Linked DNA regions of Struthio camelus. The protein of the gene in region 1 interacts with the protein of each later gene in a pairwise test. Links are inferred from orthologs where the notes say so. Each region holds a gene or a part of one and is shown on either strand. Other genes may lie near its edges.

Evidence for each region.
Region 2: the proteins of CCDC158 (region 1) and GPSM1 interact in a two-hybrid assay, tested with the Homo sapiens proteins (2 studies listed by BioGRID and IntAct). The link is inferred for Struthio camelus from reciprocal best matches to the Homo sapiens genes CCDC158 and GPSM1.

The regions. Positions count from the first base shown.
Region 1 is NC_090945.1:6,561,855-6,569,324, forward strand, and holds the start of CCDC158 (coiled-coil domain-containing protein 158), read left to right. Parts: upstream 1-4,299; 5' UTR 4,300-4,454; exon of another isoform or gene 4,455-4,540; intron 4,541-5,404; 5' UTR 5,405-5,415; coding exon 5,416-5,441; intron 5,442-7,470.
Region 2 is NC_090961.1:3,520,677-3,527,891, forward strand, and holds the start of GPSM1 (G-protein-signaling modulator 1), read left to right. Parts: upstream 1-4,101; 5' UTR 4,102-4,239; intron 4,240-4,476; exon of another isoform or gene 4,477-4,587; intron 4,588-5,379; 5' UTR 5,380-5,547; coding exon 5,548-5,558; intron 5,559-7,215. UniProt on the Homo sapiens protein: Guanine nucleotide dissociation inhibitor (GDI) which functions as a receptor-independent activator of heterotrimeric G-protein signaling.

The DNA.
Region 1 (7,470 bases):
CTGATTACCCAATGTGCTGACTTTGGTAGAAAAATCATCACTGCAAGCAAGTCCACAAAGAGTGCAGGAGCCAGCACTGAACTGCCTCATTCTTGTTTTACTCCAGCACAACTCTGTTGACCTCCCAGGAATGAGTCTGTAAAAGTGAGAAAGGGCTCACAGTCACTTTCCAAGCATAAAGCATCTTTGGATGGTTCAGTATTTTTATTTCTAGCCTTTTCATGCAAAGGGGTGAACCAATACCATTCCAGGCTTTGCACATCTTCAGAGAGCACATGGTATATGGTCAGGCAAGACAGCAGAAACAGGATGTCTGTGCAAGTTTTGTGCTGAATAGAGGGGGAAGGCTGGGGCTTACCCCTCCCAGGGGCCTTTCTGGAGCCTTCCATGGAGATGGGTGCTGAGGGCATCAGTGCACCACACCTCCAGGCCAGGCACCCAAGCCTCTAGCATTACGGAGCTGCCATCCGTATTTCTAGCTGCACTCACAAATTGCTTATGAGTGAGTTAAAGGCTCAGACAGCTCTGCTCTACACATTTTGTATTAAATGTATATTTATTTAAATAGGCAAGGTGGAAGAAGTGGGGATCTTTGTACCTTTCACAGAAACAAGCAGAGAGACTATTAATCTTCAAGCACCAGTGTGCGTCTCAGTTTCCTCCTCATCCCCTAAGTCCCAAGGCTATTCACCTGCATCTGCAGAAGGATAGAGGGGAAAAACAAACAAACAAAAAGTGTTTGTCAAAAGCCACAACCCTGGTGTGAATCAGCCCAGGAGCTCTTAAGTGAAACGCTCCTTCTTGGGTTAATAATTCCTCAGAAGGTTTATTATATCAGTAAATTTACAAATGGGTAAATAGAAGAGTGGTTTTCTACACTTACCTCCAAGTAGTAAGTTGAGCTGACTCTAAAATACCCATTCACTCAAACTCTGTAAAATGTCATTCTGGCATCTAAAAGAAAAAATTAGAGGAAAGAGCCAAAATTAAGCCTCTATACGAATTCAAAGAGATGGTATCACACACCCACATTCAAAATATGTTTTCACAGAAGACGCTTCTATGGCTATACAGGGAAGTGTGTTCAAATGCCAGGCTGCACTTCAGTCCTTCTCTCTTCCAGACCACAGAATAAGTCTACTCGTCTGGACAAGTCCAGGATAAAATAAGAAAAATCAGACAGGGAAAGGGGAAAATGTAAAGTGTACACTTTTTTACACCCAAAAGTGTAAAGAAAGAACAAGGCTCAGAAACAGAAGGAAGCTGCAAAACCATGAATCTATCTTTTCACATTGGAAAAAGTGACCTCTGAAGGTCTGAAAAGAAAGAGCTCTCTTTAGTGAGCAAAGAACCCTCCTCTCCAGACAACGCTGCCTTTGGCACTGAACACCTCTCAGTCCCTCAGTTGCTCAGAGCAAACTGAAAAGCAACAAGACAAGGTGAAGAATAAAACTGTCCCTCTAAAGATACTAGAAGAGCAGTCACAACTGAAGTAGCTGAATTCCAGCTAAGTCCAGAACTGCAGAATTTTTCTTTGCACCTGCATTTTCACCTCTCCAACATAATGCAAAGAGTATAACCCTGTGAAAACAACTGCTTCAGTCAGGAACTAGTAATCAAAAAAGGTTCATAATACAATCCAAAAACACACATTGCATTAAAATTGTAATAACAGCAAGTACATTTCAGTAATAAGACTTCCTCATTTTCCATATATTGCCTTAAGCCCTTCCACACAAAGGAAGTCTGAACTCAAGACTTTATCAAGACTGACAGAAGCAGGCACTTCAGAAAGGAAGTCTTCATTCTAACACTAAATTAATAAGAGTCTGAGTATTTGGATTTATCCAGTATTATCAGGCAATAGCCAAAGGGGTTTTCCTTGCTTAGACTCAGTTACATGCTTTTTAAAAAGAGGGAAGCACAAAAGGCTTGGGGAAGCCATCCCCTCATGGAACCGTACAGTAGTATAGTAGTTAACTATACCTTAGCAGGCTATGTATACGATTTGACAGCTTCTAGATATATCCATTTGTTGACAGCAGAGGTTTCTGTGTCAAGCTACTTCTTGCAGCTGTTCCTTGCAATCTGGAATACAGATAAAGTCACCTGAGGCACCATGACAGGCACTGTTACCGCAGTTACAGTTACACCTTACTTACCTCAGCCACACTCTTCAGGGCAGGCACCACAGCAAAACAAGTTACCCCAACCCTGGCTGGACTGCAGGCTTCCACTGTACATGCACTTCTCACCTACCAAAAACATGAGGTAAAAATGGTAGCTTAAACCCCACTGAAGGAGCCAGGTGCTCTTACTATATTGCCATTCTATTATAATTCTTATATCCTAGAGTATAATTCTATTATATTAGTTTTCTGGTGTTAAACAGATTAAATCGTTGTAAAACAATTATTTAACCACTGAAAGTAGTTATCAATGCCTTTATCCAAAACTGAAATGGCTGGTGGGTATGGCTCAGATATTTTAGAATCAGTGCCTCAGCTGATATAAGTAAGTCCATTGCCTTCCCATAAAGCTGCATCCCCCTGCACACAGTGGAAGAAATGGATTTATCTTAAAGACAGGAATTTATATTTGCATCAGGCTGGCAAGCACGTGGAAATTCTTACATTTTCTTCTCAGAGTTATTCCCAAAATAGGAGAAAAGCTATCGGAGAATAGTCTTCTGAAATGGTTATTCTTTCTCCAGGATATGACTGGTGTCGGGGTGGGGGGGAGGAAGCAGCAGGGAAGGCCAAGCCCCTGGCTAGGCAAAAAAAAAGCACCTGTTGCCAGGAGAGGAAATGCTCCGTAGGAAGCACCCTGCGCTATCAAATTCCCTGCTGAAGCTGGCACATTTTGAATGAAACTTCGCAGAGAAATCAAACGCTGGATGTGGTTTTTATTGGTTCCCACTCACGCGCATGACCCGCTTCAGAGGAGGGGTCTGTTCCCAAGGCTACGGAGTCAGGCACAGGGGTGAGGGGCAGGTGGCTCCCAACGGCTCCCATAGTTCAGGAGTTGGGTTTTGGGAGCTGGATGTGCACCCCACAGCCAGAAAAGGGACAGGGGGGAGAGAAAAAGTGAGTGAAGGTGAGCTGATCACAGCCCCTCCTTTCCCAGCCCCAACACAGGGAGAAAAACCTCAGGACACACCATCCCTAGGAGCGTGATCCTCACCTCAGGAGGAGACGCACGTCAGTGCTCAACAAGCCATTCGAGAGCTGCCTGAGTGTCAGAAAAACAAACCTCTCCAGTGTCTGCCAGAGGTAGGTGCAGTCCACATCCCAGGTGAGTTTTTATGCTTTGTTACTACCTGAGACTGAGCCTTAAAGTCTGCCTTGGCATAGCGGCAGGACACCGGGTAGCATAATCCCATCTGCCTTCTCTGTCTCTGATTTACCTATAAACTTTCTTTCACCCCTTTTCGTTTTTGACAGAATAAGGAAGTACCTTTTCTTTTCCGCCTCTTTTTCCAGGTGGTGCAGCAGGAAACACTTCTTTCCTCAAGTTATTTCTCCATCCCGCATGCCAGTTTTGCAGCTGGCGCAGCAGGGAGAGCAAAAACCAGGGCTCTCTTTCCAACTGGCTGATTCTCTCCCTTGTCTCCTCAATCCCGAAGCAATCCCTGTAAAAACCACTTTTCCTCCTTTGCCTTTTGGGCTCAGTCTCTTAGTTGTAACAGGAAGGCTTTCTTCTCTCTGAAGAGCTACATTACCTCCTTTGGAGGAAAGGTGATGTGTTTTGCCACTTAGCTGCGGTATTTAAATATACGTACATATGCGTGTATGTTTTTCCCGGCTTCCTGCTGACTGAAGTTTTCGGAGCTCTGTGGCATTTTTCTTTCGCGTCCAGGTCACACACATATTCCTTGAGCGCCGTAGGGCGGTCTCTCCGGTATACGCTGCTGGCGGTGATTTCAAATAATCTGGTAGAGGTGCAGACTGCTGAGATCTGCACGCGCGCTCCTGAAATCAAGACCCAAGACGGCATAGGCACCACAGGGGCCGCGTTATACCCCCCTCCCCCCGTTCCCAGCCCCACCACCCACCTCCCGCCCGTTTTTCCTGTCACGCCACGCAGCCCCCCACACGCCGGCAACGGCCTGTGGGGGGGGGGGGGGCTGCCGGCGGGAGTCTCCCCCCACCCCCAAGGGAGGCAGCCGGTGCTCGGTGCTACGGGGGTTTTCGTTTTTACCTCCAGGCTCGAGAAAGGAGCTCGTTAAATCATTGGCGTTTACAACTTAGCGGCCGTGAGGGCGGCTCGAGTCCCCTCGGCGGCGGTCCGGGGTTGGGGGGGGGGGAGGAGAAGAAGGGGGGACACCAACGAGCGTCCATTTGAGGACGGCTCCCGCCCAGCCCCAGGGGGAGCCGGGCTGCCCGGCCTCTCCCCCCTCGCGGGGAGGGCAGCGCCGGCCGGCGGAGCTGCTCTGCTCTCGCTGCTGCTCTGAGGTGAAACGGGCGGCGATCGCCTCCCCCTGTGTGGGGAGGGGTGGTGGTGGTGGTGAGGCGGTTCCCTCGCGGGGAGCCCGCAGCCGGCGAGGCGAGAACCAGGGCGCCGCCGTCCCAAAAACCCGAGGAGGGGAGGCGGGAGGGTTTATAAAGGCGGGGGGGGCGCTTTCTCGCAGGTGGGTTGGGTCGTGCTCGCGGGGGCCACCTGAGGTAGTCGTCGCACACCTGGGAGGGGAGGGAGGGGAGAGCAGGGCTGGCGGCTTCAGGGGCGGCCATTTTGTGGGGGGCCCGGGCTGGCCTCGCGCCCCCCGCGCCGCCATTTTCCCACGCGGGAGCAAGGGGGGGCAGCGGGGTGACACGGTCTGAGCGGGCGTCGCGAAATCAGGCCTTTGGTTCGTGGCGTGGTTGAAGTTTCTGGGCCTTGCTATTGTCCTCAGGGGCTTTTATAGCAATCCGAAACTCAGTGCGTAGGAATCTAGGGGAACCCGTCTGAGGCTCACCTCAGACCTCGCTTTCTCTTTCCTCCTTGGGCATCCCTCCCAAAGCGCCTGTGTGAGCAGAAAGTCCACTTGGATTTAGTTGAGCAGACTGGATAGGTAAGATTTCTAAATAAGATCAAGGTAAACTTCTGTAGAAATCCAGTCTTCAACGTTTCTTTTAGAAGAAATTGCATATCGGAAAGCTTATCTCAGGAAAGTGTCAGTATACATGATTTTCCATTTAATTGTTGTTGAAAAACAGGAGATGCTAACAAGCATTTATAAGAACGTGCAGCTGTGTTTGTTCATCAAAATCCAGAATAAAGCATAAAACTATAAAGGAGAGTAACTATGACAATATCCTGGAGTTCCTCCTGCAGTATTCAAATTAGGGGGCCAAAATACATTTTGTATGACAGGAAGTTGAATGTTTAAATGCTACAAAATAACGATAGTTAATTTTCTTCACAGATGCTGTTACAATGAGCAAGAATATCCAGGAGTTAAGGTAGGATACTTTTGAGAATACTGTATCTGCCGTCATTACAGTAAACATCACGCTCACTGAAAACAGGAGCAAACAGACCGCGAAGGTGTAGTCTGTTAGTGGTAATTTAACAGGAAAGATGTAAACCCCACAAAATTTATGGGCATTGGTGCCCAAGACACTCCACGGTGAGGGATGAATTACACTGATAATTGTAATTTGTGTGCCAGTGTTATAGTTAGCTCTGTTTCTAGTCACAGTGGAATGAGTTCTCACGGATGGCAACAGGATTTTTTGCACAAAGAACAGGATATAGTGTGGCCCTGTGCTAATGAATTTGCAGGGCCCCTTTCTATCTACTATTAGATTCAGTAGCGGTCAACATTGGAAAAGTGATACATGGTTGTGAGATTTAGTGATTTTTCTTTTTCTTTTTTTTAATTAAAGTGATGCTTGGATTTAATAGTGTCTATATATAGCTGTGTACCTAATATTTGAAAGTTTATTCCAAAAAGGATCTTCAGTGAGTTTCAGAATTAATGGCCAAATGAGAAGCATGGGGATGTTAAGGATTTTCTTTTCTAAGCCTTAATTTACTGATTCCCTTTGATGGATCAAATCAAAGTTTCATCTAGCCACTGTCTTGATTCCAGCAGCGTCCAGTGGCAGATGCTTAGAAAAAGAGTGAGGTAAAAATGACACTTTCCTCAACATACCTCAGTATCTCAGTACCCAGGAACTTAACATTTAAATACTTCCTGAATCAGAATGTCCGTCCCAACTAGCAAGCCCTGGGGATTTCTCTAATCATTCTTTGCAACCATTTATGCCTTTGGGTTATATTCCGCAAAAACTGGTCTGTGTTGGTAGAACCCTCACCCTTCCCTGTAGCTGATGCCCCTTCTTCCCAATTTTCATGGTAACAGACTCCTCAAGATGCTTTTCTCTATGCTCTGCAGCTCTTTGTATCTGAGTCCTCAAGCTTTTTGCTTTTCCTTTCTGTAGTGGTATGGAATGAAAATCCAGATTTCTCAGGATGGGTTGATAAAAATGCAGAACAGCAGCATAAAAAGCGCGGTGCGTGCACACACAGTGACTGGTTGCTTGTGAAAAAACTGCCGTATGGACGAAAATCAACTGTGCGTGTTGTAATTGGGTCATTTGCGAATGTCACATTCCTGCTAAGCACACACAGTGGTAATTACACTAAGTGACATGAAGCTGCTCTCCTTGCTGATCTTGTATTCCTCTGGCTTCTGTAAAGTTCCCTTTAAAAAGTAGGGTTTTTTCCATAATTTTGTATTCCTCTTTGTCTTATTTTTTCTTCACGTTATTTTTTCTCCACGTTTCCTCGTCGTTTCCTTCTCTTTCCAGCTTGTAGGTGACCTGCCAAAGTTTGTCTAAGGCTGTTACTCTCACTTAAGTGGAATTTCTTTCTTTTTAGTTCAGAAGAATTCCTTTTGTCTGTTTTTTGATTATCTGCCCCTTACTTGACGCCCCCGGAACAAAGCCTACTTTCTAGGCTTGTAAATGTTTCCATATTTCATTGCTTAGACTTTAATTTCTTATTTTCCTGCATCCTCACTTGAAGAAGTCTTTCCCAGTTTCAGCAGTAATAGGCCATTGTTCCTGGGAGAATGGCCTGAAGACTGTTATGACCACTGATAAACTAATAGTATTTACACCAGTCGTCTTTTTTGCAGTTCTCATTCAAAGTACTCAGAATGGAGTTCAATCTTTGACCTTGTGTAATCCAAAATTAAATGTCTTGAGAAACGGTATGCATTATATCAAGACATCACCCAGTCTGAAAGTAGCTCAGCAGCTAACACCGCACCATCGTTTGTTGTTCCTGGTTACTTTTACAGTCCCATGAGGTATCCCTCCAACTTCTAGAGCTAGTACTATCTTGTGTGTAAAGTCAACATAGTGTGACCCGGGGTTTATATGAATGCAGATTCTGCTTGATGGTTTTGTTAATGCCTGCGTATTCCTACTTGAGTCAGCCAGCAGAGTTTCTAGTGTCTGTGACCACCCCTTCCTTTCTTTT
Region 2 (7,215 bases), on another chromosome or scaffold:
ATTTGCTTCATTGTGTTGGAAGTCATACAATCCAGGTTAAACTAAACACTTAAAGCCTTTAAATAACCAAAAAATCCTTAGTTTAAAATAAAAAATATCCAAGTCTTTGACTATGACCATGCAGATGATAATGGAAGCTCATTATTCTCATAGCAGCTAGTGGAATTGATTCTGCGGATGCCAAAACTGTTGCTCATTTTTCAGCCATGCTATAGATCTGCTTACTTGATATCCATATCTGAAATAACCATGAGCAAGGACTAGTCGTTGCTGCCCTTTGAGAACAGCCTTGGCCTTGCTTATACCTACTGTTTCCTCATCCATAATTGCTGATTGTCTTTACATTTCTGTGGCGTTTGCAGATGTTGTCTGCTATCATTAAATTTCTCGGTGTTGTGAGAGAGTCCTGGGTTGAGACAGGGCTATGGCACAGGGGGAAATGTCCTGCTCTAGGCAATCACTACACATCTAAACAGTCAAGAAAGTCAGCTTCCTCCCATATCCCGTTCCTGCCTGGTTAACACCTTACCTTTCGTAGCCTCGTCCATGGATGGAACAAACCCTTCACTGAGGAACTGGGCAAAAGCACCTAAAGAAGCATTTAAAGAGGATCCCTGGGAGGGCTGGAGCCTTTCTAGAGAGATTAATCCCAGAAACCTCTTCCAAAGGACGAGCTGAGAAAGAACTCAGCACAGAATATCCCAGTCTCTGCTCCTTCCCTGAGCTGAGCTACCCACAGGCTCCGGTCCCTGGCTCCAGCCACGGTAAAGGTTCACCTGAGATGAGTCCCAGGTCAGCCCCTGCCCTGCCCAGGAGTGCGCCAAGGAGGAGGAGGCTGTGCCAGGGAGCCCAACCAGTGGAGCCGGCCATCAAGCATCACCACACCTTTGTTTGGGCCCCTCTGTACGGGGCAACCGTAGCGGTAGCGATAGCAATAGCGATAGTGCAGGGAGAGGCTGCTAGAAAGTGTGAAGAAAACAAACAGCAACAAGAGGAGCCTGAAGGCTGATCTCAGCTTGCAAACACGTGGCAAGGTGCCAGAAGCTTTCTTGACAAGCCCTTGCATCCCTTCCAGGGCAGCTGGCATCCTGGCAATGACCCATCTCAGGGCCAGGTGGCCACAGAGGAGAGGGAGGACAGAAGCTGCACAGTTTGGGATGGAGAGAGAACGGGGTGCTAGAGCAGGGGGAGAAACCAGACCGGCGCAAGATCTCACCCAGGGCACCTCTCCTCACCCCTTTCTCTGTAAGCTCATCCAGCCTTTGATCCTGCTGTCAGCAGCGCTGTCCTGATCAGGCCCCCAGGTTCAGGAGAGTAGGGGCTTTAATTCTGAATATTGGCTTTTAGTAAAGGAGGAAATGATCAAAAAAAAAAATAGGGTTTCTAGTCTTTATGACTGCAGAGAAAAGCTTGAGAATATGAAGTTAGTATATGCTGAAGGCTCAGAAAAGGTAGATAAAGACAACTCCACCTGTGTTGATGTGCCTTTTTTTAAATGTCACAGTGTTTGAGTATTTGAAATTTGGGGTAGCCCTTGTGGTTCTTCAGGTCCTCCTATTCTCCTGTTCTCATCCTGGCATTTCAAATGAATGGGAAGGAACAGTTTATTCAGCAAACAGCAGAGGGCAAGCTCAGCTCACAGACAGGAGACGAGGCGGTGCCTTCAGCGGCGCTCTGGCCTCAGCTGCTGCCAGTTGCCACTTGGTCGAAGACAGCCCCGAGTGGGCAGCAGCAGGAAAGCCCTTGCTGTCACAGTGGTTCACTCTCCTTTTCTATTTCATACTTGGCCTTTTCACAGAGCATCTTTCTGGCAGGCTTCACCGGATAGTGGCATCCTGGCCTGCGGCCTGCCAGCTCATGTCCCACACCCTCCCAAGATTATGGCTGCAGATGGCTAAACAACCCTTAGGGCACATCTCAGCTGGTGAATTTGCTCGGTCATGCGGGCATGCTGTCCAGGCATTGCTTTGAAAGAGTTGGTCTCTGAAGTTCTTTGCCCCCAAAGTTACTCACCCCTAATCCTTGGATCTGCAATTACAACTGAATCTACTACAATCACTGTATAATGCCAAGACTAGGCTGATCGTTTGATGCTGTTTTCTGTTCCTTGACTGGATGATCCTTAGGCATTGGCTTCCTGTGAAATTCTTCCATTTATGAATTTTAAATTTGCTTCCCATAAATATTCTCTCACATATGCCAAAGTTCTGCAGTTCCCAAGACTATGCTTGCTGTTTGCTCTGAGATTCACTGAAGGCACATGAATAGAATAAGGATAAGCAAATAGGAATAGAAACATTTCTTGCTGTCCTCCCACAGTGACCATCAATTACTGCCCTCATGGGGTGAATTTCAGCACAGACCCTGAGCTGAGGCTGCGTGTGCCTTTCTAGGTCCCACATGACTGCAAAGCAGTGCTGACTGATGTACTGTTTCACCAGCATTTTGGTTGATATTGAATTTGACTCTTGTTTCTGTTTTATGTCCTCAGTTATTTGTTCAGGCTATACAATGCTACTGATGTGCTTTAAGCAGCAATATCAGTATTGTAGGTCTTTGTTATTACTGGGAAGTACTTAGATGGTGAGGCAAGATACTGATACCACATCCTTTCATATACATGGATCCCTGCGGTCTCTAGAGAAGTTTGCTTGAAGCAGCAGACTCAGGCTGCTAATCTAATAAATATTACAGCAGTCTGCTCAGATATCTGCACTACTTCAACTTTTCAATTCTAACCGAACAAGGAGTTCCCGAGCTGTGGATCAGAGTTGCAAAGTTCCCATTTCAAGCCGGTCCAAGCCAACGTTTTGGCCTGATTAGAGGTTCCAGTGCTAAGAATGCAGAGTCTGTCCCAAAAGGGAACCACAGCTATTTAGGGTGCCTAAGTGATAAGAGCCTTAATTACAGCCCCCGGGTTCACAGGCAGCCGTTGTGCTAGGCAAGCTTGCGTACTGAAGAGAGAGGACAAAGCAGAAATGTGAAACCTCAGCAGTGGGAGGACAACTTTCAGTGAAGATGTAGCATATGGGAAACTGTAAGAGTAACAGGAAAGTCTAGGATTAGTCCCATGTCTGCTGAGTTCAGTCGATCAAGGCAGTGCCTGGAGCAGGAGTGCACGTGCCGCAGCAGGCAGTGCTCTCCATTGTGCGCAGGTGACACTTCTGAAGCCACTCGAGTCGGACCGGCATCTCTTTTGGCACCTATCTTCCTTAGCAAGCTGTCAGCTCTGACGAGAGCCAGGAGAGTGACAGATTGCCAGCATGTTATGCTGCACATCTTGGAGTGTTAGACCACAAATCTGCTGGGAGATGAGGAAGTGAAACCTATCACTGGGCCAAATCCTGCTTCTGCAGCGCATGCAGCTCCCAAGTCAGGGAGCTAAATTTGAGCTGAGGCAGCTAGGAGCAAATCCATTTAGATCTGTACATTAGAGCTGCATGAGCAAAATGAGTCAGTCATGTATGATTGTGTCCTGCGGACTCCACAGCTCCTGTCACTTGTGACTAGGACAGAATTAGGCCCAGCGTTTTCGTTCACGTGGCGTTTATGTTGCATCAGCCCTCAAACAGCAAATTTTCTCTACAGAGGTACTCAGACTATCCCCTACTGGTTTTAGCAGACTAGACAACCCCAGGCTATTGCATACCCAGTGGACGTCTTACAAAAGCCATTTTAGGGTTTTCAGTGATTTGCCGGGATTCTTGCAGCTCAGAACCGATGAAGAGAGATGCTGCTTACCCCACTGCACGGCATTATCCAAAAGAGAGCAGCGTGTGAGTCTGCTGGATCGTTAGTGGTGTGCTTACATGCACAATGATGAAGTGGGACAAAAAGCGTCCAACTCGGCTGCATTCTGCCATCCTGAGCTTCAAGGTCACTTTCTAGCGTTTCTGCAATTCAAAGATAAGTGGACTTGCTAATTGCTCAATCCTGTAGAAGGTTGTTTGGTGTCTGGAGGTTGGTTTCACACTGTTGAGGCCGCAGGGTCTCCTCCCAGTGTCTTCCGTTCCTACTATAGTGCACTGTCACGGCTTAGGAAATATTTACAGCAATAACCCACAATGCCTAGCAAAATTCAGGAAGTGTATATATATGTGAACCAAAAAAGAAATTCCTCCTAAGTCTGTGTGGTTTGAAACAGCTGCATGCCATGCAGATATAGCTTTGTGCCCTCTAGATATATTCCAGGGGTCTTGTAAACAGCAATTCTACTGTTCCTACAGCTCTGGCAGACAGGTAGGACACTCCTTACTTTTTCTTGTTAGTTGGCCCTGTGCGCCTAGCTTTGTGAAAGTGTTACAATCTCCCTTATTGAGGGGAAACATGTCCAGCTAAAAGGAAAGAAAATAATACTTGTTTGGTTTTTTTTTACAGTGTCTAACTAAGCAATTTATGTTGTGAAGCACTTTTCACAACACTTCCCAGTTAGCAAACAATCAAAGCACAAATCTAGACTTCGATCGCAAGCTGGATGTGACATGAATTTTGCAGCAAGCATATGGTGGGAAGAGGCAGCTCATTAAAATAAAGTGTACTGTTCTGAAGTCTGACAGCCAAGTACTCAGTCCTGCACCACAGACCAGGGTATTTAGGCTCTTGATTCCTATGGATTTTGGGATGTCATGGGACTGTTTGTTACCCATATACTGCTACACTTCTATATTTGGCTCTTTAGTCTCCCTGTGCCTCAGTTCCTCATCAGCAACGGGAGAAAATATCGCTTCTCTTCTCAGTGCTTTTTGACTGACCAGGCTGTTTTGCATAAAGACGCACTAAGATACAAACATAAGGAATGGATTATTTTATCCTATGGTTCAAAAGGTATTAAACTCTGCACAACCTAAGGATGAATCCGAACTTGGCTGCAGAGTTTTTGCTGGTACCACTGATCTTGCTTCTTTTTCATTTAACCCTAACAGCTCATGCAGATACCCACGTTGTTAGGAATAAGCAGATACTTTCCCCATGGTGTATGTCATATACTCAGTTAATGCACTGTACTAGGCGCTGCGCAGAGAACTGCCCAAAGGCAGAGAGCAGGCTGCTGCTCGGCTGCCCCAAGTCTAGGGAGGTATTTGCTGCAGTGAAGAGATGCTCTTCTGCAGTGATCTCAGCCAGAAACACAAGGAAATATTAAGCTTGTGTTTCCCTACTGAGGCCCTGAAATTATAAAAACAACATGTCAAGAAAGAACTAGACCTTCAGAATATCTAGATTTTATGCCGAGTGCCAAACGATGTCTAGAAAAGGGCAGAGCGTTCTCTTTATGTGCTTATATATATATATATATATATATATATATCATCCAGTTATTGGCGAAGAGAGTGTTAAGACAGGAAATAGCTATTTATGGCCTTTTTTTTTCCCTATCAATAGGAGAATATGTGAATGGAATCAGAAGCGAAGGACAGCGGAGCTGCCTGCGCTGCGCAACCGAACGTGGGAGAGCACCGAGTTTCCATGGAAACGGCCTATAGGAAACGGGGCTCTCCGGCTGTACAAAAGGATTTATAGCGCCGGCCTGGGACTAGGCAATTTAAATCAATGATCGACAGGTAAAACGGCACATTTCCTTGCACATTGTCTCCAGGCACTGCAAAACGAAAGAGGCAGGGTAGGCGGGTGGGGAGAATTGCAAGATGACAAGGTTTTCTGAGGTGTCTTAGAACCAGACCCAAAACCCGCGGAGGCTGATGCAAAGATTCTTGTGGATTTTGCTTAGGGCTGGAGCCGGCATGCAACGAGCAGGCGTGTTCCTGCAGGAGCAGGGCAGGGCAACAGTTCCCTGTGCACCAAAATGCACAAGCTATAGGCACAACGACATACCCTACCTGCACGCCACAAACTCGGAGGGGAGAGGAGAAACGTAATCTGTTCCCTGCTTGCTCAGCCCTTCAGATAGTGCAGCTCAAGCACTCTGCCTGGTTTGGTTTTTTTGGTTCTGATGCTCGGGAAGAGTTCGTCTGGCTAAGACTATCCCTAGGCAGACCAGCAGGCTTTGGGCACTCGTTGCAGAGAGACTTGTCAGAGGAGCTTTCTGAAGGGCTGCACATCTGTTACCCTTTAACTGTCACTAGGTTTCCAGCTGTCAGTGTGAATTTTTGAACAGATATGGAAAGATCAGATTTTCCAGAGCAACGAGAATCTGTTTGGGAATATCTCAGATATAACCCTGAAAAAAATCAGAGGTCCCCAAAACAGCTAGTTAAGACTATAACTGAGACAAAATGTGCCATAAGCAACAAACAGTGTTTCTGTAACAAGGGATTAAATGAGTGAGGAATGATTTATTGGCTTCAGATTCTCCCATTTATTGACATTCAGGCATAGTGATATATGGAGTGGCATGAGACAGCAACATAATTATTCGTGCAGTGCTGCCTTCATCACCATACATTACCAAGACCTGAGTGACAAAGCCACATTATCTTCTGCATCAGACACTGTGTGCCTGTCCGATCCTGCTTCCAGCTAAGGGCAATGGTTAAATATCTCTAACGTACTTGGAATCACCATGGGGCTGGTGTGTTTATTAGCTCTGCGGAACTGCGTGCACTTACGAAGGTTGCCTCCTTCATATCCAGGAATGAAACTCAGTCTCCTTACTCACCATGTATCCTGGGCTTAGTGTGGCTGGATTTAAATATGCAGTTTAATATGCATGTGGGCATATTGGTGACGTCAAACACAAGACAGGAAATTCCTTTTGAGTTGGAGAATACAGCGTCCTTGGCTGCAAAGACTTCCAGCCTCTGTACACTCTGATCCCAGGGTAAAGTCATGTTTTACCCTGCGCTCCACAGCGCTCTGTTCGAATGTTACTTTGTTCTGCTTCCAGCTTTCAACAGAGCATCAAACACAGCTATCAAGAGTGGCAAGATTTCAGTTTCTTCTTTCAGAGGGGGTTTTTTGTTCAAAACCCAAATAGTCCAATCAAAATCAAATCTCAAGAACTGGGTCCTCCTGTCCTACCTCTCTCTACTGCCGCCTTTGGGTCTTTGCCATAAAGTCCTGCCTACACAGCAAATGCTACCAGCTAGACCTTCCACTTCCCTTTTACAGAATTTCCTCTCTAAAGTGCTTTCTTTGGACCATCAGTGTCCTTCAAAAAACTTACCTTTCAGTTCTTTATCTCCACTCAGCTACTTGCAGGTCACTTATTACAGACCCACAAGCAATCATTTTCAAATGACGTAGTGAGAAGCTTTATCT